Neurospora crassa OR74A: one gene and its partner. The protein of the gene in region 1 interacts with the protein of each later gene in a biochemical or structural test. Links are inferred from orthologs where the notes say so. Each region holds a gene or a part of one and is shown on either strand. Other genes may lie near its edges. The genes, in order: NCU10397 and NCU06617.

What was found.
Region 2: the proteins of NCU10397 (region 1) and NCU06617 form a complex in vitro, tested with the Schizosaccharomyces pombe proteins (2 studies listed by BioGRID). The link is inferred for Neurospora crassa OR74A from reciprocal best matches to the Schizosaccharomyces pombe genes pik1 and cdc4.

The regions. Positions count from the first base shown.
Region 1 is NC_026503.1:1,280,484-1,291,880, forward strand, and holds NCU10397 (phosphatidylinositol 4-kinase PIK1a), read left to right. Parts: upstream 1-5,541; 5' UTR 5,542-5,972; coding exon 5,973-6,052; intron 6,053-6,207; coding exon 6,208-6,394; intron 6,395-6,465; coding exon 6,466-8,935; intron 8,936-8,993; coding exon 8,994-9,198; intron 9,199-9,263; coding exon 9,264-9,303; 3' UTR 9,304-9,765; downstream 9,766-11,397. Other genes in the region: NCU06406 (hypothetical protein), read left to right, coding at 1-115, 220-348, 417-556; NCU10675 (methionine permease), read left to right, coding at 2,646-2,817, 3,003-3,156, 3,263-3,857, 3,923-4,024, 4,078-4,878; vad-3 (zinc finger transcription factor 1), read right to left, coding at 11,060-11,397. UniProt on the Schizosaccharomyces pombe protein: Acts on phosphatidylinositol (PI) in the first committed step in the production of the second messenger inositol 1,4,5,-trisphosphate. PIK1 is part of a nuclear phosphoinositide cycle and could control cytokinesis through the actin cytoskeleton.
Region 2 is NC_026504.1:1,811,253-1,821,660, forward strand, and holds NCU06617 (myosin regulatory light chain cdc4), read left to right. Parts: upstream 1-4,973; 5' UTR 4,974-5,104; coding exon 5,105-5,107; intron 5,108-5,648; coding exon 5,649-5,802; intron 5,803-5,876; coding exon 5,877-6,110; intron 6,111-6,197; coding exon 6,198-6,226; 3' UTR 6,227-6,471; downstream 6,472-10,408. Other genes in the region: NCU06615 (hypothetical protein), read right to left, coding at 2,006-2,367, 2,460-2,709; NCU06616 (S-adenosylmethionine-dependent methyltransferase), read left to right, coding at 3,570-3,583, 3,671-4,610; NCU06618 (metallopeptidase MepB), read left to right, coding at 7,660-8,445, 8,509-9,618. UniProt on the Schizosaccharomyces pombe protein: Involved in cytokinesis. Required for the formation and function of the contractile ring.

The DNA of each region.
Region 1 (11,397 bases):
ACTTTTATCACAGATGATATTGAGGTGAAGGCGGAGGGGCAGACAAAGGTTAAACTGAGGCCGAGGAAGGCGGGGGTGTTTAGTCGAGAAGGGAGCAGATGGAAGGGGATTAAAGGTTTGTCCCTTGTTTTTGTTTCTTCTCACATGCTCATATACGCTCTCTCAGCTATTTCCGTGGCTTGATGGGTGAGGTAACTAATGGCTTGTATCACCACACAGCACACATTGAGCAAAGAGGCGACTCGGAAATGGCCGGATTCAAAATTGACGGCCAACCACCCAACCCAGATGAGGAATACAGTTTTGATCTCTATAAGACGTTTGAGATTGAGTTTGAGAACCCGCCAAGTAAGTTCTCCGCATCCCTTTCGTTCTCGATAGAGAAATTTTGTTGACAACAATGGTGGTGATTCAAGGCCAAGACAGCTTCATCAGGAGATGGGGCGAAGTCATTGCTGAACGCCGACAGCAGAGAGAGAAATTAAAGGATATTCAGGAGGAGTTGAGAGCGGTCGGAGGGTTTTATGGTAAGACGGCTATGCAGATTCGGATGTGATACCAACACGCAGCTACTCATGAGCTCTAGGGATAGCTCGTTGCCATGACAGGTTTGGAGAACAGGTTGGGATATAATCGCATAGTTAAGATCTCTTTTGGTGGCTTTATCCTTTGCTCTCAGCCGAGTGGGTTTTGGTAAGCGGGGAGTTGGGGCTGGATCGGATCGGGCTACAGGTGTATTTCTTCTTTCTGTCATGCGTATGTGTTGCGAGATACCTGGACTGGGGGATACGAGTGTGTGTTTACTTATCATGATACCTAACAACCACGGATAATTGAGTTCTGTACCCTACTATCGCGGCCGAGAGAAGAGATTGATGACTATGTTCGATGTTCACATTTTCTCACACGACTCGTGCCTAACCAGAACGGCTGGACGAATGGGAAACCTCGGGACATTCTGGCTTAGCGATGGTTACCCGATTAGGAGAGTGATTTATTGGAATCATGCAGCAAGCAGAAAAAAATAAGCTACCCATGACCTGCATTCCTCACCTCGCCAAGATCTGGGCTCTAGGCTTAATTGGGGAAGGTGATGTATCACTCACTGTGGCCCTGTGGGAAAGATGGGGAGGTTTTTCTGGGGCGAAGCTTGGGGGGGGGGGGGGCTGACGATGCTCCTGATCCCTCGGGTAGTGGAGGTACAAACTCGGAACTGTGGTGTTCCTAGCTTACACTACTGCCTGATGGTGTCGCTAACTCACTGTCAATCACAACGCCGACGGAAACCAGCGGACGAGAAAAGCGCAGTGTTTCCGCTGAGAAACCCCAGATTGCAAACATGAAGGCTTGTCTGTAACGCAGCCAGCCATTCGGGTAAGTGGAAGGTATTGTCTTGGCTACCACCACGACGACGAACGATACCAGCCCGGCTACTACACTACCTATGTACCTAGCAGGGTCCCCTCTCTCAGCTCCCACACCACACACACACACACACTTTACAAACTGCAGAGCCAGGGCATCGTCCTGCACGCCTCTTTTGTCTTCTTTCGGCGACTGGAGGGACTTGGCGCTGTGATAACGACGGTCGGTGGCAGGGCGACTGGATAGGGCGATGGGGCGGGAAAGCTGTGTTGTGAGTTATCGGCGATGACAATCCTCTACACTATACTACACTACACTAGCCAGACACGCCCCCCTAGCCACGAGGAAGGCCTCGTTCTTTATTTTCTTTCTTTTGCAACTTCCATGCTTCTTTTGGCTTGATCTCATGCGGCGTTGTGTCTGCCTCGCTCGCCAATCAACCGCCAATGAACAACACTGCTACTGCTGTGTGATGACGGTGTAGGTAACATCAACAAGGCTCTGAGCTGCAGTTATCCGATCATCTAAATGGGCGGTACCTGAAAGATTGTAGGTTATAGACAAACAAGAGCACAAGGAGGTATCGAAGGCAAAATTGGTAAAGGTGAGAATACTTCGTTTACCCATTTCTTGCCATCCTCAATCCTCGAGTGAGATAGATCTATGTGGCATGTGTTACCCACCCCACCCCTGACAGCCGTCACTCCTTGAGCGTCTTCATTAACACCATCCACCAAGGTCTAAACTAGACGCCCATTACTCGATGCGTTTTGACCGTGGGCTACACAACGAACGGGCGCAAGGTGGTCTGTCTGCGGTTGTGAGACCCAAACCTCTGTAACGCACGTTGACCTGAACTTGTCAAGTTACGCCTCTCACGCAGTTGTCTTTCTTCCCCTTAGGCTCACCGAAATTTCTTGGTTGAGGTTCATGGGGTGAGGCCTGGATAGGTATGCTTCTTTCGTCCCTCGGGGCTCTGTGAAGATACTCTGAAACTAGGTATTCTGGAAAAACCCGCCTTACCTATACAAGTTACTGGTCAACCAACAATCGAAGAAGAGCATCCAACACCCCATAACTCAGCCGGACTAAACTGGACGGGACGGGACTGGACTGGACTGCATACACAACCCCCCCACAAGCGCTACGGTTGTGGTGCCTTTTGGGTTCATTGTGTTCAGCCGCATCATCACTCCCCTCGATTTCGGTCATCGATTTGGACATCCCGTGGGGTTCCCCCATTATCAACTGGAACTAAGACCGCGGAACTATCTCTCAAGATGAACGAACCAACGATATTCGAACAATCCATCCACTCGAAGGATAAGGATCCGGAGGTGGGCGAAGATGCCATTTATATGCCCGAGTATGGAGCGAATGGGAGGGGTCCGTCGCGGGTTGGTGAGGAGGGAGAGGAGGAGGAGGATTTTAGGGATTATGTGTTTCCTGAAGGTTAGTTAGTTTGACTTCTGATGACCTGCGTTTTCCGTCTCGGTCTTTTGAGTCTCTCTTCGGTCTCTTCCAAGTCTCTCTAATCTCTTTTCTGTCTCTCTTCAACCTTTCTCTTCGCCTCTCTCTTCACCTAAGGCTCTCCCTCTCTCCACGTTTCTTCACTTTCCATTAACACCCAATCCCAGAGCGAAAACTAGGAACATGGTCCACAGCCTTCCTCATTTTTAACCGCGTCGTCGGCGCCGGCATCTTCTCAACGCCATCCTCCATCATCCACAACACCAATAGCGTCGGCGCCACGCTTCTCTTCTGGGTGTTAGGTGGTGTAATGACCTTTTGGTGAGTTTTGTATCATCCTTTCTTACCTTGCCCTACACCATCTCTATGTACTTTCACCACTTTGACCACTCGAAAAGCGGCTAACTCGCATCCTCAACCACAAAAGCGGGCTAGCCGTCTACCTAGAATTCGGCACCGCCATCCCTCGTTCCGGCGGAGAGAAAGTTTACCTCGAACGCGTCTACCGCAAACCCAAATACCTAGCGACCTGCATCTTCGCCGTGCAATTCATCCTCTTCGCCATCTCCACCGTCGGCTCCGTTTCCTTTTCCTCGTACCTCCTCCGCTGCGTCCTCGGCTCTCCTGACACCACCACCACCGGAGGCACCGCGCAAGAAGATGCAACCAAATACGAAGGCACGTGGCTAAACCGGGGCATCGCCGTGGCAGCTATTACCGCCGTCTGCCTCATCCACGCATTCTTACCTAGGTTGGGCATCTGGCTATCCAATGGTTTGGGGGTGTTCAAGCTGGTGCTGCTGATCTTGGTGGTATGTACGGGGTTTGCGGCGTTAGCGGGGAATATGGAGGGAGAAAGCCCGAGAAACTTTTCGAGCTTTGATGGGCCGGGGGATGCCACGGGGAATGGAGACGACCAGACGGACGGGATGGGGAATAATGTCGCGGGCAGTGCGGCGGGGTATGCGTTGGCGTTGTTGCAGGTTTTGTATAGTTATGGGGGGTGGGAGAATGCCAATTATGTGAGTGACCCCTCGGAAGTGGGCGGTGATGGGTTGGTGAGGTAATGCTAACAACGGGTTTGTAGGTGTTGAGCGAAGTGAGGGATGCGCCGAAGACGTTGAGACTGGCGGCGCCGATTGCCATCGGGACGGTCACCGTCCTTTACGTCCTGGCGAACATTGCCTATGTGAGTATCCCCTCAAGTGTCTCACAAGAACTTCCATGACTGACAACACACAGTTCGCCGCCATGACCAAAGACGAACTCTCCAAATCCGGCGTCGTCCCCACCGCCATCTTCTTCACCCGCGTCTGGGGTCCCTCGGCCTTCACCGAGCGCGTCATGCCTCTCTTCCTCGCCCTCTCCGCGCTCGGCAACGTCTTTGCGCAATCCTTCGCCATGCCCCGTGTGAAGCAGGAGCTCGCAAAGGAAGGCACTCTCCCCTTCTCGCGCTTCTGGGCGAGCGACTGGCCCGAGCAAAAGTCGCCGACGGGCGCCATTTTGCTGCATTGGATCTTCACCGTGGCCTTGATCCTCGGATCCAGCACCAAGGACGTGTACCAGTTTCTGTCCAACATTTTTACCTACTCGGGCAACTGGATCAAGGTCTTCCTGGGGGTGGGGCTGCTGTATCTCAACTTTACGCCGAGCGAGAACTGGACGACGCCGGAGAACAAGCGGTTCCATAGTTATCCCGTCCTGACGGTGTTTTGGGTTGTCGGGCTGCTGTATACCTGTGCGGCGCCGTTTATCCCGAACACGCTGCTGACCAAGGTTCACTTTTCGGTGGTGCCGGCGCTGGGGACGGGCATGCTGGTTATCGGCGTCATGTATTGGGTGGTTTGGGCCAAGGTGTTGCCGGCGTTTGGGTTCTCTATACAGCACGAGGTGGTGGTGTTGCCGGATGGGAGTGAGAGGGTCAAGTATAAGAGGGTGAGGCCGAGGGGAGGTAGGAGTGGTGCGAGAGGGAGGAGGAATGGGGGGAGGGGAGGGGGGAGAGGAGGAGGAGGAGGAGGAGGGACGACTGTTGTGTGGAGGTGATAGGACGTGTGCACTTGTCGATGTAGAGAAGATACAACGTAGAATAGTAGATCAATGATTCGCGTCTTCGTTTCAGGAACAAGATAAAAGGGGATTTGTTTACTTTGGATGGAGTCTGTGTCCTTTTACCCCTTTTTTTTCATCTTTTTTTCCCTTGGAGCAGAGCCCCTTTTTCGGATGGCGCAAGCGCCCTGGGATCGATCTACTTTGGCCGGTGGAACTAGCACTAAGTGTCTGATCAACATGCCGGTGGGTTAGATCTTCGTGTTCACTTCCATGAATCCCCAATACGAGATGGACCATTGATATGATTTGGGGTGTCATGTTGATGGGAATCCCAACCGCCAAGACGAAACAAGAGCGGATGGGAACACTGTTTCAGCGGTCGTTGGCAGACGCCAAGTGCCTGTAGCAGGGCAAAGGAAAGGCGCTGTGGACGGACACACTGCAGCCGAGGCGGACAAGTCGGCCAGGTGGGGAACGGGACGCGGGGCTCCATCGGGCTTAGCGGATAGGTCCCGTTCAATGTGCCGTGCGAGCGGGTGTTGTTGTATCGAACAATTATTCCTTTCAGTGGACTGCGGCCCCCCCCCCCCCCCCCTGACAGCAGTGACGGCCAACCTCCACCTTCGGAACACCACTTGACACCACCCGGGCACCCTGGCGAGCGAGAGGAAGTGGTTTTGGTGTCCTTCTTGGGAATACTACCTCTACCACCACCACCACCACCACCACATTTCAGTCTCACTTGTCAACACCATAACGAGTAACGACCTAAGCGCGCCCGGCCCCGTCAGCCATGCTCCAGCAGCCCTACGCCGTCGACTCCGTTCATGTTCAAGTCCGATGAAGGCATTGCTTGCGCATGCATGCCTTGCTGCCCTCTGTATCCGTCCATTCTCCAGCCAGCCAGCCAGCCAGCTCCAGTTCCAAGTTAGCTTCCGTCTAGACTGAGTGTACCTACCTAGCTGCTCGATTCTCCCACCTACGCCTACGCCTCGCTTCACCACTTCAGCCTCGCCAGCCCGACATTGACTCTTTCCTCCCATAATCCCCGAGTCGATCTGCGGTCGACCCTCGTTGCGCCATAACCAATGTCTTGGGACTTGTTAAAGCGGTTCCTCGAGAGCGACGTCTTCAACCAAAACCCCTTTCTCTCCGTCTCCTACCTCTCGTCAGTCAGCCATTCCGTTTTGCCAAGATTCGCTACCCCTCCTCCTCCTCCTCCTCCCCCTCCTCCTCCTCCTCCTCTTTCTCTCCTCCTCACTCGGCGCGGCGCGTATCAGTACTGGCCTGGCAAGACACACACTAACATGACCGCACCGCCAGACGATATGCCGACCACATAGGAATTCACTATGTGCTGTGCAGCAAGCTGCGCCAGTTCCCCTACGAGGACATCGAGTTCTTCCTCCCTCAGCTCTGTCACCTTATCATCAGCATCGACAATGAGTCCATGGCCCTGGAGGAGTTTCTCCTCGACCTGTGCGAGGAGTCGGTCACAGCAGCCTTGTTGGTGCGCAGCCCTCTATACACCATCTGACGCTTTGCACGACTCCGAATTGCTGATATCTCGCCCGCTCGCAGACATTCTGGCTCTTCCAAACATACCTACACGACCTATCCGCTAATCCACAGGCCAATGCCTTCAAAATATGCCAGAGAGTGTACAACAAGGTGCAGCATATCGTCTTTGGCGTCTCCGACAGTGCAAGGAACGAGAAGATTACGGAAAACGCTTTGCCAGTGACTGTCCTAGGGAGCTTCGTTCTCGCCAGTATCGCCGCCCCGTTTCTCCCCCATTGGGCTGGCCCGCTTGCCGTCGCGCAAGCCAGAAAGCCCCGCCCTCAAGTCATCGAACCTGTGTTGGACGCTACTCCCGTCAACGCCGCCCCACCTGCTCGCGCGCATACCGTCACTGCTGGTACAACAAAATCGAGACGGGCAAAGGAGGCCCGCCTTACAAGCTCATCGGACCATCAGCTCCAGAGCAACAACAGCAGCCCGGTGGCGCATCGCCCCAAGCCCAAGATCAAGGAACCTCAGCCTGACTCCCGGCCGACGTCTTCGGGGTCTTCTATCAAAACGCCGGTAGAGACCAAGCGACCTACTCCTTTCGATTCCAACGTCTTGGAGGCGCGCCTTAGTTCATCTTCACTGCCTCTACCAACGTCGAATGCCAATTCTCCAGGTCTTGTACACAGGCCGACCACTCCGGCCCTGCGGCCAACGACTGGAGTGAACAGGAGGCACTCGCACCATGTCAAGACGCTCTTGAACCAAGCGGACATGAGCCGCACACAAAAGATGCGGCTACTAAAACAAAACTACTTCCACTGCCAAACAGCATTCCTGACCGCACTAGAGGATATTTCAAACCGACTAGTAATAGTACCAAAGGCTGCACGCCTAAGTGCCCTACGCGCTGAGCTGGCTCTAATCGCTCAAGAACTCCCGGCCGAGGTCGATATCCCAGTCATCTGCCCTCCTACTTTGGTCAACGGCTCTCCTTCGCAGAGCCGACATCACAGGATAGTCCGTCTCAACCCGGCTGAGGCCACGGTACTGAACAGTGCTGAGAAAGTGCCTTTCCTGCTTATGGTTGAGATTTTGAGAGAAGATCTCACATTTGACCCGGATTCTCAAGATAATCAGAGACTTCTGACACAGCTTTTGGTCGAACAAGGAACCAGGAGGCGGATTTTTGACCTTTCCGAGTCTTCTAGGATACCAGCCACACCCCGTTCACAGGAGCCCGTCATCGATAGTGTTTTTGAGCCTTCCTCGGGGGATCTAGGGCACTCGCCACTAATAAAACCGTTCAACGACGAGCCCTTTGCCATACAGCATAACCCCGTTCCTGGCGGTCTCCGCCATGCTGCCACTACTGGGACCAGCTCGACACAATTTGTTGATCTGACGTCAACGCCTCGCAGTTCTGGCACTTCGGGATCCTCTACCCCACCTTTCAGGAGGATGACCCTCCAAAGTCCGCGCAACAACGCGGCCGCCGACCAACCTGATTTCTCTGCCCTTGCCATCCATATGCGGACAGCCTCGCAAATGTTGGCGCAGTTGGATGCAACAAGTGGCAAGCGGCCGCGTCATGAAGTGGCCGCAATCAGGGCAAAGATTATTGCCAGCATGCAGAGTCTGGAGGAGGAGAGTTTTGAAGTCCATGATAGCCAAGGGCCGACCTTCGACATGATTATGGCCAAGGCCAGTGCAGAAAACGTTATCAACGGCAATGTCGCCACGGACGAAGAAATCGAGGCTCCCCTGGAGAAGGTCGAGTCTAACGTGAATCCAAACGCCGGTCTAGCAAGGATGGAAAACGATATCAAGACAGGCGGTCTCCAGCGCAAGGGCGATCGTGATGATCCCAGCGCTGCCGTCTTCGGAGAAGCTTGGGAGATGAAGAAGGAGCGTATCCGCAAGTCCTCTCCTTACGGCTGGATGAAGAACTGGGATCTCGTCAGCGTCATTGTCAAAACGGGTGCGGATCTCCGTCAGGAGGCATTCGCCTGCCAGCTGATCCGCGTGTGCCACAAGATCTGGGTAGAGCACAACGTGCCCGTCTGGGTGAAGCTCATGCGCATTCTTGTTACGGGCGAGTCGTGCGGTCTGATAGAGACCATTGCCAACGGCGTGTCGCTGCACTCCATCAAGCGCAGCTTGACACTGGCCACGGTCGAGTCCGGTCAAAACCCTAGGAGGAGGATCGCGACGCTCAAGGATCATTTCGTCAAGGCGTTCGGTTTGCCCGAGAGCCAGGCGTACAGGTCAGCTGTGGACGCGTTCAAGAGGTCACTGGCGGCGTATAGCATCATCTCATATGTGCTGCAGCTGAAGGATAGGCACAACGGTAACGTCCTTATCGATAATGAGGGGCACATCATTCACATTGACTTTGGCTTCATGCTGTCAAACTCGCCCGGTTCGGTTGGGTTCGAGGCGGCGCCGTTCAAGTTTACATATGAATATCTGGATGTGCTGGGTGGCGTGGACTCGCAGGATTTTGCAGACTTTAAGCAACTCTGCAAACAGGCTTTCCAGGGTAGGTTCTCTCTCTCTCATCACTCGTACCAGGCATAAATAACTAACGACTGTTATAGCCCTCCGTCGTTCAGCAGACAACATCATCGACCTCGTCGCCATGATGGGTCGAGAATCCAAGATGCCTTGCTTTGGTGCGGGCATCTCGCAGGTAACGACCTCGCTCAGGGCAAGGTTCCAGCTGCAGCTGAGTAAAGACGAGGCGGAACAGTTTGTGGAGACGGATCTAATTGCCAAGTCGTTGGGAAGTTATTATACGCGACTGTAAGTTGTTCGGGACAATACTTGATCCGATTGGAATGGGTATGCTAACAAAAGGCCTTAAACAGTTACGACACTTTCCAGTATAGAACACAGGGTATCTACTAGACAGATTTGCAGGATCTACAAGGGCGATTAGTCCCGTGTATGGGATATCACCTGAAACAGGAGACGCAGATGGGGAGGAGGGACGAAAGAAATTTGGAGAGGAATGAATGGAAAGGTCGGACGGATGAAAGAACGTATCGGTAATGGGATGGATGAATGGAGGAGACAAGGTGGAAATACCCCTTCGTTTTTGTATGAGGAGGGCATGGGAGGATCTAAACGTATATATCACACGGTGGGAATTCCCGATGTCAAAGCACGGCAAACTCCATAACGAAGAAGGCGAGCGAAGAGCGGAGAAGAAGGTGTTGAATTTTGGAAGGGGAAAGTTCAATCAATTCAAGAAAGGGCATCTCGGCGGCGTTTATAATGGGTACCACCATAGAGGCTTTTATGGATTATGATAGTGTCTTATCATACTAGTTACTATTCTATAAGCGGCATCCATGTGTTTACCAATTTTTTTTGGATTTTCTGTTTGGTTTGTTGTCTTTGAGTTTTTTGTTGCCTTGACTCCTTTGCTCACTTTCTCCGTCACTTCATGGTCTTTTCCCGTTCGTTCGTTTCCCCGTTCGTTTCGTACCTCCATAACTTCGGATGTTACTACATCGTCTGCTTCCTCTCTCTCTCTCTCTCTCTCTCTCTCTCTCTCTCTCTCTCTCTCTCTCTCTCTCTCTCTCTCTCTCTCTCTCTCTCTCTCTCTCTCTCTCTCTCTCCGTTTCCGAGATACGGGAGTTAGTCGTGTATCACCAAGATAGAAAAAAAAATAAAGATAAAAAAAGAATTACTGAAAAAAAAAAAAAACAAGGTGCGAATGGCAGCTTGCTTGTTTTGTTTCCACTTCTTGCATTCTATCTTCTTCTCCCACTTACTCTTTCCTCTCCTTTCCTTTTTTTTCTTTCCGCTTTATTGGTTTTCCTCCATCCTTCTTTACGCACTATGCTGGACTCACCGAACAGGTTCAAGGTCAGAAAATAGTCAGTAAAGTTTAAGTTGACAATTTAAATCCATCCACCTGCATCAGACGACCGACTAGACTAGAATGGTACATAGGCAAAAAAGTGGATTTCTTTTTTTCATGATACCATACCATACTTACTCGAGCTGGTTTGTCAAAGCGCAAAAGGGCGTGCAAATGCCAATTCGCCTAACCACCAAAAGATAGATGGAAGAATGTTTTGTTGGCTGGAGAGAACATCTAATGCACGCTTATATAGGTAGCTAATGTCACAGTTGAGCAACCTGTGACATGTTTGTTCAAAGCAGTATTAAACTCCACGTACGTCTGTTCTGTTCTGTTCTGTCTTTGTGGTATTGTATTAATCCTGATACGCCCGCCCGCCCTATCGTGCCCCTATGCCCCTATGCCCCTACGCCCCCGAACCCCCCAACCCCTCCCGAATTGGCCTTCCGACACACCCTATGTGGAAAAGATGGTTATGTAGTTGAAAACATAAAGAAGAAGAAAAAAAAAGGGGGATTGCAAAAAAGAGACCTATCCGCTCGCTCTTCTTTGATCGCTTGCTTCCGCCTATGTCTGTTGAAACACCCGACGTGATAAAAAGAAACTAATTATGATAAAATAAAGAAAAGGTATCATGTATACATCACACTACTAGTGGCATCGATCGTTGTTGTTGTTCGTCCCAATATCCAGATGACCGACCGTTATCCAAAATTGACCGGTATCCCCATCCTGTATCACTCATAACTCATCATCCTTTCTAGAAAAAGGAAACCGTTTCCCCCCCCCCGCTTAATGCCCATGATGCATCCCTCCCATTCCCCCACCACCACCACCGCCACCACCTCCGCCAGCACCCACCCCAAACATCCCGGCAAAACTATCCAACCCCCCACCGCCTAATGCTCCTCCAAGACCGCCCAGCGTATCCCCCCCAATCTCCGGCGGTTCCATATTAAACGGCATGAACCACGCCGAGCTCGGCTCGTTCGAGAACGCTGCATGTAACCCGTCTGGCCCATCCCTCCCATTCTCACTATCATGCCCCCCTCCCCAACCCCCAGCGCCACCACCACCACTGCCGCCGCCGCCGCCGCCTACCAGCCCTGGCTCATGGTGTAAGCCGGCAG
Region 2 (10,408 bases), on another chromosome or scaffold:
TTTCCCATTCTTGGTTAGTCGCTGACGTTAGTACCTTGCAGTGAGAAAGGGAATGGCAATTTGGGTGATGAGCTGCACGGGCTGTCTTTTTGTACTTTGGAAATTTTGATGTGTTTGGAATTTCGATAAATTTGGAAATCTTGTTATTTTCTTACATATCGACCATCAATACATCCCACCCTCGTTCCGACCTCTAGGATCGCTGTGATACACCAAAGTGACGGGGACGAGGGGGCGGCGACGTAACAGAAAGACTAGATCTTGTGTGTCAAGTGTTATCGACAGTAAGAGGAAGAGATGATTGACTGATAAGGCCGTTCATCGTGGCCAATGGTAATGGTCCCGACAGTTATAGTTAGCTCGATGCGGGTATGCATCGTCAAGCGGGATTGGTCCACTAGACATATCGGATCAACGGGGGTTGAACCCAAGGAACGTGAGCTGAAGAAAGGCTGTTCTTCTGTTAGAAGCCTATGGACGCGAGGCGCTTCTAGCCCTGACAAATATAGCTGTACAGTTATGTTCCTTTTGATCCTCATGAAGGGAGTGAAAGATGGCGGTCAATCGGAGGTCTTCAAGCCACGACAATGCTATGGACCAGGTTAGCGGGGCGAAATATATAGTGTGGTAATCTCGCCGTAAACTGGAGACTGATGCTGATGAGACCTTAAGAGTAAGCCAGAGATGACAAGAGCCTGGGTGTTACGTTTCAGTAGAGGGAACCGGACAGCGAGCGGGTGATGAGGGGAAGTGAAAGGCAACTCTGATATCTGTAGGATAGATAGCATAGGTATAGCAGATAACGTAGCTTGTCCCCGATTTCGGGCGATTCTTATGCATCTTGTCTCCCCGGATACAACCAATGTCGGCGGGGACGGCTCTTCCCACAATGTCCAGGATCCACTGCCATGCGCCTTCCTTGTTCTATTTTAGACTACCCGTCGCTTATTGACGGGTAAGGTGAAATTGGTTGCTTCGTCTCTTTTTCCTTCGACCAGGCTTGTGTGGAGTGGCCTGTGCGATCGTCGTGTTCATTTCCAAGCTCTTCATTATGACTGCCATCAGCTTTTGCTATTTGAAGTCTGATATCAGTATAAGTACTGTTTGTAGCTTTTCGGGTGGCTGTAGGTGTGAAGTTGAAGTCGGATCGCGAATCCAGAGTGCAGTTGTCGCCCCTTGTCGAATGGTTGCCAGTGGCTGGGGAACGGGAGGAAGATACAAAATGGTGGAGTGGAGTGGAATGGACGTAGAGGAGAGAATCATGCTACCCGGTGCCCGTACGTGTAATTTACACAAGGGATGGGAGCGCGGACATCCAGCTGGACTTGTCACCGGACATCTGTATCTACGCTTATAGGCTTGAAATCTGAGAGTCACTAACAACAACAATTACAGGCAAGATGGCCGAGCGGTCTAAGGCGCTGTGTTCAGGATATCTGAGTATCGCAGTCCGAAAGGGCGTGGGTTCGAATCCCACTCTTGTCACTAATCTTTTGCTATTTTTTCTGATTCCATTGTGGAAACCGCCTCTCATGTCTTTCTTTTTGTTTCTTAGGAATTGAGACGAAACGAATTCGAGACTTTGCTCAAAAGGTATAGTTGAACAGATGTAGGAACTTGAGGCATCTGATTGTAAAATCGGGAAAGTACAACTAGAGCGTTACGATGGGTTGGTGGGAATGGTAAGGGTACCTGAAAGGGTCTAGATGTTACCTGAACAGAATGTTTCAACTTTCAAGACCCAAGCTGCAATATTCAAGATCGGGAGTGCCATGATCAGAAAGAACAGGTAATGGATGTGGCAACGCCTAGGAACGTTAAGCGTAGGTTTCGACAAGCAAATAAACCAGTGATGAATTGTACATATAAATATATATGTAGCCAGGCCCAAACCTCATAACCAGACACACAGAAACTGACAAATGTTAGAGATCATCAAATCCTCATAAAGACCATTCAACCTCCCTATCAACTCTTCACAACCCGACCTGACACCTGCTTCAACCTAGAGTCTACTAGCAGCAGCCAAACTTCTCTCCCCATCAACCAACACACACCACCCCTCCCCTCCCCAGCCTCCCTTCCCAGCCACGACCGCCTGGAAATTCTCATTCGCATATGCCAATACCTCATCATTGAAAGTTCCCGGCTGGAGCCAGACAGCAGGCACGCCGAGCTCCTTGGCCTCCTGGAGCGTCTTGAGCGTGATGGCGGGACCGGTAATGATAGAAACCGACGTCTCCTTGGGGTTCTCGAGCTCCGAGAGGGACTTGATGGCTGGGTAGGGTTGCCCGTTGACAGTGAGGGTGGCGCCCTGGGGGTTGATGGGCGTGGCGGGGAGGTCACGGTCTGCATACCATTTGAAGACTGGATAGGTGTTAGTGGTGTGTGGATAATGTGGGTGGAGGTTGTGGGTAAGGGATGGATGGGGACACGGGAGAAGAAAGGACGAAACGAACCTTTGTAACCGAACTTCTCCGTGTTAGTGCTGGCGCCGACTACGGCGAACCTGGGGGAGGAGAAGAAGATCTTGGCCGTTGCGTCGCTGGCGGACATTTTGAGGTTTGGTGTTGACGTAAAGAAGTGGTGTTGTTGATAGCTTGGGGTGATATAGTGTGGTAGATGCTGTTGAAAGCGGGCTGGATATCTTGTGCTAGGTTTGAGGATGTGTTTTAGAAACACAAAAGGAGACTGCGATATCAGGGACATAAGGTCGGTTTATATGTTTGCCGGAAAGACTAGTTCCCTGACAAATAATCAAAGTTGCACCAAGGTGAGCTTAGGTTGTCAAGTTGCCCACTCTATTCTAGGACATGTCTCCATGGCGACATTCGGGTGTTGATGGAGTTAGTTGACCTCGCCGTCGAGGTGATGCTATTTTCCCGTGTCTACGCCCCCTGGGCCCCTGAGCAGATCCCGTAGGAAGCTAACCACTCAAACAGCCATATCCCAGGCAACCCCGCGCTATCTACGAGGACCCCGATGACGTGCCCACCGCGTGCCGTAGGGGTACCTGTGATGTTGGTGCGCTCAGCCCCCACCACAACTATGTAATCAGTAATTGATCCTGATGGTTTCTTGTGTAACTGCATATCTTCGGGTATTGGATTATCGACATCTATCCAATGGCGACATCTTTCATCGAATGCCCGTTCCTGATTTGGAATTGTTCCAATGTCGCAGTTGCTGTTCGGTGAATCAAGGTCAGGTGATGTAACGCAACCGAGGCTTCGACGGAAATCGTCGGATCCGTGAACTTCGGCGATCAGTCACTTGTTCAGAGAACCAAAGGATCATTCGGAATGCCGGCGCGGGTGATGCCTGGGAGGAGCGAGCCAAGGAAGGATGATAAGGATGTCGCCATCCATGAGCCGTCTCAACGCCTCGGTATTGGATATAAAAAGCCTTGTGCCGTTGACGGGAGAATTCAGCTTGCCTGTTTCCCCAGACAATATTGGTATCACAACATCAGGCACAGAATTCCACAACGGACTATCTTACTGACCACTCGGAGTTAATTTGGATCCACTGTTTGTGATTTGGTGCGTTTGTTTGGGTGGTCTTTGAGAATGTCCATCTTCGGGTAAGTCTCCACCTCTTGTTTACATACTTGCCTACTGACAGCATTGGCGCATTGCTTACTGTAATCATTGACATGTTTCCACGATAGCCGCTCGACGTTCTCCTCTGCTGGGTATGCTGCCTTTCGGCCCTCATATCCCTCGGTTCTTTACGACCGGGTGTTGAGATTTCACGGCAAAGAGGCCCCTTCCTCCCCATCACCATCGTCGTCTTCGCCGGCAGCTGGAACACTGCTAGACCTTGGCTGCGGACATGGCTTAGTGGCGCGCGCACTCGCTCCCTATTTCAACCGTGTTATCGCCCTTGATCCTTCGGCCGGCATGATTGAACAGGCTCGCAAGCTAACCGGCGACAACTCCAAGATTACGTTCAAGCAAGGCGGAGCCGAGGACCTTTCTTTCCTTGACGACAATGCCGTTGACTGTGTGGTTGCTGGCCAAGCGGCGCATTGGTTTGACTACTCCAAGGTCTGGCCAGCACTTGCACGGGTCGTGAAGCGCGGCGGAACCCTGGCTTTCTGGGGTTACAAGGACCACATCATCGTTGGGCGGCCGGAAACAACGCCCATCTTTGACAGGTTCATCTACGGCGAGACAGAGCCGGTGCCGGGCGTGGAAAGCATGATGTGCTTTTGGGAACAACCCGGCCGGAACATATTACGGGATTCACTGCGGGAGGTGGTCCCTCCCGAGAGGGAATGGGAACATGTGGTCCGTATTGCTTGGGATCCCAATCGTGAGACGGGCGACATTAGCGATGCTCCGGAAGAGGCCACTTGGTTGCGTCGGAGGCTCAAGTTGGGCGAGTTGGCGAGCTATATTCGCACGTTCAGTGCCTTCAGTGGTTGGGGAAGCGCCCATCCCCAGATGAAGTGCAGGGCGGACGGAGGAGAGGGCGACATTGTTGACTTGATGTTTGACGAGGTTGTTGCTGCGGTGCCGGAATGGAAAGCGGCGGGGGATCGATGGGCCGAAATCGAGGTTGATGCTATTTGGGGAACCGTTTTGTTGATGGCGAAGAGACGATGAACTGGAAAGGTAGTGTACAATTAAGTGTGGTGAAGAGACGATACTGTACAGTGGTGGTGGCTGACGTTGAACCTGCTATCCGGGCAGTATCACCGGCCCCCTTGCGTAACCAAGGTGCTCTCTGTCAGTAGATGTCTCTCTCGATTGAGCTAGCGGGCATGCAGTGCTGCTGTATCGCGAGTTGTCACCAGTGCCAGTGGGTGGTTGCCCTCCATTGGCTGCCACCGCGACCGGGATGCGGGCGCATAAGGTCGGGTACTGCGTAATGGCACAGACCAGTCAGCGCAACTCCCTGTCCGCAGCTCATTTCGCGGCGGGAAGGGAAGCCCAAATCGATCGCCCACTCCTTTTGCATCTAGCCTTGGTTCGCTTCTTGACCGTTCTTCTGAATAGCATCATCTTTCGCATCGAATCCATCAGCCAGCGTACTTGCATCGACTAGCCCTTGCGTCCTCTTTTGCGCATTCAAACGACATTCCCCCCCCTGAGACACAATGGTAAGTGGACCTGTCCCTGTTCATCCGCCGCGGGCACTGGCACGCGCGCGCGCCCCTCTCCATCCCTCCATCCCAAGTCCCAACCCCGACGCACGGAAACAGAAAGCATGCGAAAGCAAGAGCCAGGAACCCCGCGGTTGCCCATGACAACAAAGGCACAAGGTGCCACAACCTTGGAAGCCGCAGCGTTCTGCGTTGAATCGGAGCACTACCTGTAAAATGCGCCTGCGCCTGCGCCCGGCTTGAGCGTTGAGCTGCCAGGTCCTGCTTCGGCATCCATCCATCACAGACCAAAAAAACACCATTCATTTTGCCAACTTTCGATCGCATCGCTGCTCCCTTGCCGCTTGGGTTTCTGCGCCTTGTTCTCGCAACCATCGCCCTCGTCCTCTCGATTGCCGACTCTAGCACGATCGCAAAGCCAGCGCTTTTGCTTACGCTCAACCTACCGCGATTTACTACATACCCGCATTCTTGAAAGAACATTTCATTGCGACAGCGCAACTCAGGAATCATGGCATCTAACCAGTTCGACGGTCAGGCTTCTACCAACTACAAGGAGGCGTTCTCCCTGTTCGACAAGCGCGGCAACGGCCGTGTTGCCCTCGACAGCTTGGGTGACCTGCTCCGCGCTTGCGGCCAGAACCCCACGCTCGCCGAGATCCGCGAGCTCGAGAAGAACGTTGGTGGTGATTGTGAGTAATACCCGAGCGGAAACAAGTAGTTCATCTGAGATTAGTTACTAACAGATGCCCTTCTCATCCGACAGTCGACTTCGAGACCTTCCAGCGCGTCCTCAACCGGCCAGGTGGCTTCCGTGATCCCGGCGAGCCCGAAGAGTACTGCCGCGGTTTCCAGGTGTTTGATAAGGACATGACGGGTTTCATCGGCGTTGGACAGCTCAAGTACATCTTGACAAACCTTGGCGAGAAGATGACGGACGAGGAGGTAGACGAGCTCCTCAAGGCCGTTGATACTAGCTCCGGCCAGGTGAACTATACCGGTATGTCAGCCTCAGCACTTGCTGTTTGCTTGCCCTTTGCGTGAAACCTAGGAGTCTCGACTAACAATATGTGTACGACGCAAACAGAGCTTGTCCGGACCATCCTTGCCAACTAAAATATTGAGTAGAGGTGGTACGGAATGATGACGAGGGAAACTGGGTTTGGAGGTCAAACATCATGGGGCATAGTCGAATAGAAATCGCGGGACAAATCCGTCCACGGAGAAGGCGTCATATACCATCTATTACAGGGAAATCGCATGTGTTATAATCCAGGCAGGCGTCGGAGTCTTGATAAGATATGAATTTGGACATATCATTTACCGGGAACTGAAAGGCTTTCCGGACGTGTGTCTTAACCAACTACGCTAGATTGGGTTCCACGCCTGATCTTTCTTCCGTCCCCTTCTCTTGCGTGACGGAGGCGTGTTTCCAAGTATACGTTGTTTGCCCAGTACTCAGCAGTACAATATTCGTCATGAATCCCTTTTCGCTCTACTCGAAAAAGGGCTCGACCCTGTCAGTTTGCTTCGGGTAAGGCAAATGACATGAAACATCACAAAGGATGAATATGAGAAAACAAGGCCCTGGAGTTTGTATAGTCACTGGAAACAAGGCCAAACACGTTTCCGTCTTCCTTCGAATTCGGGCTCAAAGGGGATGTGGGGATTCCGATGTCCCTTTTCCGGCCTTCAGTCTGGGTACGGTCAGGAAGTGGAAGCAAGGTGTATCACTTGGCGGTATCTTTGGAGATGTTAATTCCTGTGTTGGATGACCAGAGAGGGGGTAACCAGTACTCAAATACTGCATTATCTAAAGCATCTATGTAATGTTCCTGCAGTAGACTGGTAACTTACAATGTCCGGTCGCGGAAGCCGGACATCTTGGACATTTCCCCAGCGGCTTGCATCGGTCTTGTCAATTATGGAGCCCCTGTCCTCCGCTGACGGCCATCACCCGTGCCTTCTTTTCCCTCGGCTAAGTAGTGAAGAACTGAAGGAACTGTCCTAAATGACACCATCTCTATCCCGTATTTGCAAGGCTGGGCATTTTCTTGACTGATCACGCAATTTGGCGAGAAATTTTCTGATCAAAATTTCAACGGGGAACTACGTTGCCGCCTCTTGTCTGTTCGACAGCCAAACCGATATCTACCAACAATCACGACGACCTCGACGACGGACGACACTCAAACATACAAGCCGCGGACGACATCTGTTTGCCCTCAACAACATCAAAATCGATGATGACCACTGAGCAAATTTCGAAATTCACGCAAACGACAGACAATCATAACGAAGACAGGCACCATCTGGATGGGTGGGACATGCTCCAACAATGGCTTCGAATGGGTGATTCACGTTTGGATGTGGAGGTATCTTGGGAGTTGCTTGGATCTATCGCACTGGACATATAAGCACAACATCTCGCCACGTTATCGACCATTTTCTTTCTATCATCATCAGCACCTGGGAAGGGACAGGAGAAACTCGTTCAGCTATCGTCACCGACCCTGACTTCATCTCACGACTCACGCCTACGAAACGCCATGACAGGAATGTACGACAACCCACCCCAGCCCCCAGGGCTCCGAAACCATACCCCAGAAAGCGTTACTGCCGCCTTCGAAGCATGGGCCGACAAACACCGTGCTGCGCTAGATGCGATCGTAGCCGATGTCAACCTGAGTGACCCGCAGACTGTCACATTTGAGAACGTCATGCGCCCCCAACTCGAGTTTGAGAATCAAAAGTTCTCGCACAACTTGCGCTTTTACCAGCACGTTTCTGAGAACAGCGATTTGCGGGAGACCACTCGCAAAATGGCAAAATGGTACGATAACATCTGGACGGACATGAACATGCGCGGGGACGTCTTCCGTGCGAGAGAAGTCCTGTATCACAAATCTGGTCTCGCGGCAAGTAGGAAACAGAATTCCGCTCGGTACATAACCGAGGACATTGCAAAGAATGCAGGTTTTGAGGATGCTGAGAGTGCTATCGCTCTGGAGGAAGAGTGGAAAGAGGCAATCAGGTTAGGATTGGGTTTACCGTCCAAACCCCAGCGTGATCGCTTCAATCAAATTCAAAAGCGCGTGGAGGCAATCAAGAGCGAGTTCAAGAACCACCACGCTTCTGATAAAGGCTGCAACTGGTTTACCCCTGCAGAGTTGGATGGCATGGACAACGATATTATTGACCAGTTGGCGAAGGGAACGGGCGAGAATGAAGGCAGACTTAAGGTCACCTTCGACCCCAGTCATTACGACATCTTTCTCAGAGACGTCAAGAACTCGGAGGCTCGAAAGCGCATGTGGACTGCCATGGAGAACAAAGTACGCTGTACATGGTAAGTGGTTACTGATGCTTACAAAAGCCTACTGACAATGCCCCGTTAGTGCCCAGAAAACGTCCCGCTCTTTAAAGAAGCCATGCTTCTCCGAGACGAGGCTGCTCGCCTCTTGGGTTACCCAGATCATGCCACATTGAGGATTGAAAGCCGAATGGCGAAGACACCTAGGGCTGTCAACAACTTGCTGAATGACTTACGAACCCGCCTTGCACCCCTTGCCACCAAAGAGCTCAACCAACTACTACAAACTAAGAAGAAGGACTGCGAGACTCGAAACTTGCCGTTTGATGGCAGTTTCTATCACTGGGACTGGGCTTTCTACGCCTCCCAAATTTCCAAGCAAGAACATGACCTTGACAACAAGAAGGTTGCCGAATACTTCCCGATCGATTCCGCAATCACAGGCATGCTCCGCCTCTTTGGGGTGCTCTTTGGCATCGTTTTCGTTAGGTTGACCGCAGAGGATCTTGAGCGTATCTCCCCTACTGGCGTCGCCGATGATGTCATGTATCACAGGGACACTATCATGTTTAGTGTGTGGAATGACGAATCCGAGGGTAATGACTTTCTGGGATACCTTTACATCGACGCCCATCCACGCGAGGGCAAATACAGACACGTAGCAAATTTCCCCCTGGAACTTGGGCACCAGAGAACGGACGGTACGAGGTTTTACCCATCCACGGCTATTGTTTGCAACTTCCCTGCGCCAACCAAGGACAAACCGTCACTCCTTGACCACGAACATATTGTTGACCTATTTCATGAATTGGGACATGGGATTCACTCTCTGGTTTCACGCACTCGCTTCTCTCGTCATCACGGGACAGCAGGCAAGCGAGACTTTGTCGAAGCCCCTAGCCAGATGCTTGAACATTGGACATGGAGAGCCGAGTATATCAAACGCATCAGCAAACATTATTTAACAGGCGAGCAGATGTCTGACGACATGGCCGAGCGGATTGCGGCAAGCAGACATTTCCTTCAGGCGTTGAGGAACTTGTGGCAGTTATCATCCGCGATTTTTGACATGGAGGTTCATTCGCCCAAATCACGCGCTGCCCTTGAAAACATGGACTTTACCAAGCGATACAACGAATTGAGAAACGAACTAACAGGAATGAAGGGACCCGAAGCTATTGGTGAACCGATGTAAGCTCTAATGCTGTCAACCTCATTACTTCCTTCGTATCTTGGTAGGTATCTGACAGTTCATGGTAGGACGCATGGGCATGGCAATCTTCAGCATCTGTTTTATGCTTACGATGCCGGATTATACAGTTACCATTGGTCTAACACCTACTCCTACGACATGTTTTACTTCGCCTTTGCTAAAGATCCGATGGATAAATCTCAAGGTCACCGATTCAGACACACGGTTCTCGAAAAGGGCGCGTCGCAAGACGAGATGCTCATACTTGAGCAGTTCCTGGGTCGCAAACCAACCACCGATGCGTTTTGCATGGAGCTGGGGCTGGTTGAACCTATGGAAGAACCGTTGTTGAAGGGAAGTTCCTTCGCTGGACGAGACCCCGTCATTGAGGGCGCCTCGAGTGAGGAGGATCCTGCCATTGAGCATCACCCTTTCTGAGGGAAGTCCCTCTTGCTGGGGCAGATTCCATTGCCGATGGAGGGTCATCTGTTGAGTGCGGTCGAGTTATCTAGGGCGACCCATCTGCTGAAGGCGGTCCAGTTGTTGAGACCACGTCACCGAGAGAGAGGATCTGCCACAAAATGAAGCATATTGCAGCACACTTCAGGAGGAACAGGAATTGATGAGAGCATCACAAGAACTACCGCCGCGTTGCTACAACGGTTTCTGTTCTATCAGGTTCGCTAACATATTGTGCTACCACATAGAACAGAAGAAGGAAATCAATTTCGAGGAGGTTATCTAGTTGGCTCAACTCTTCCCAATTCGACATGTGCATTTTTCCCTTCCATCA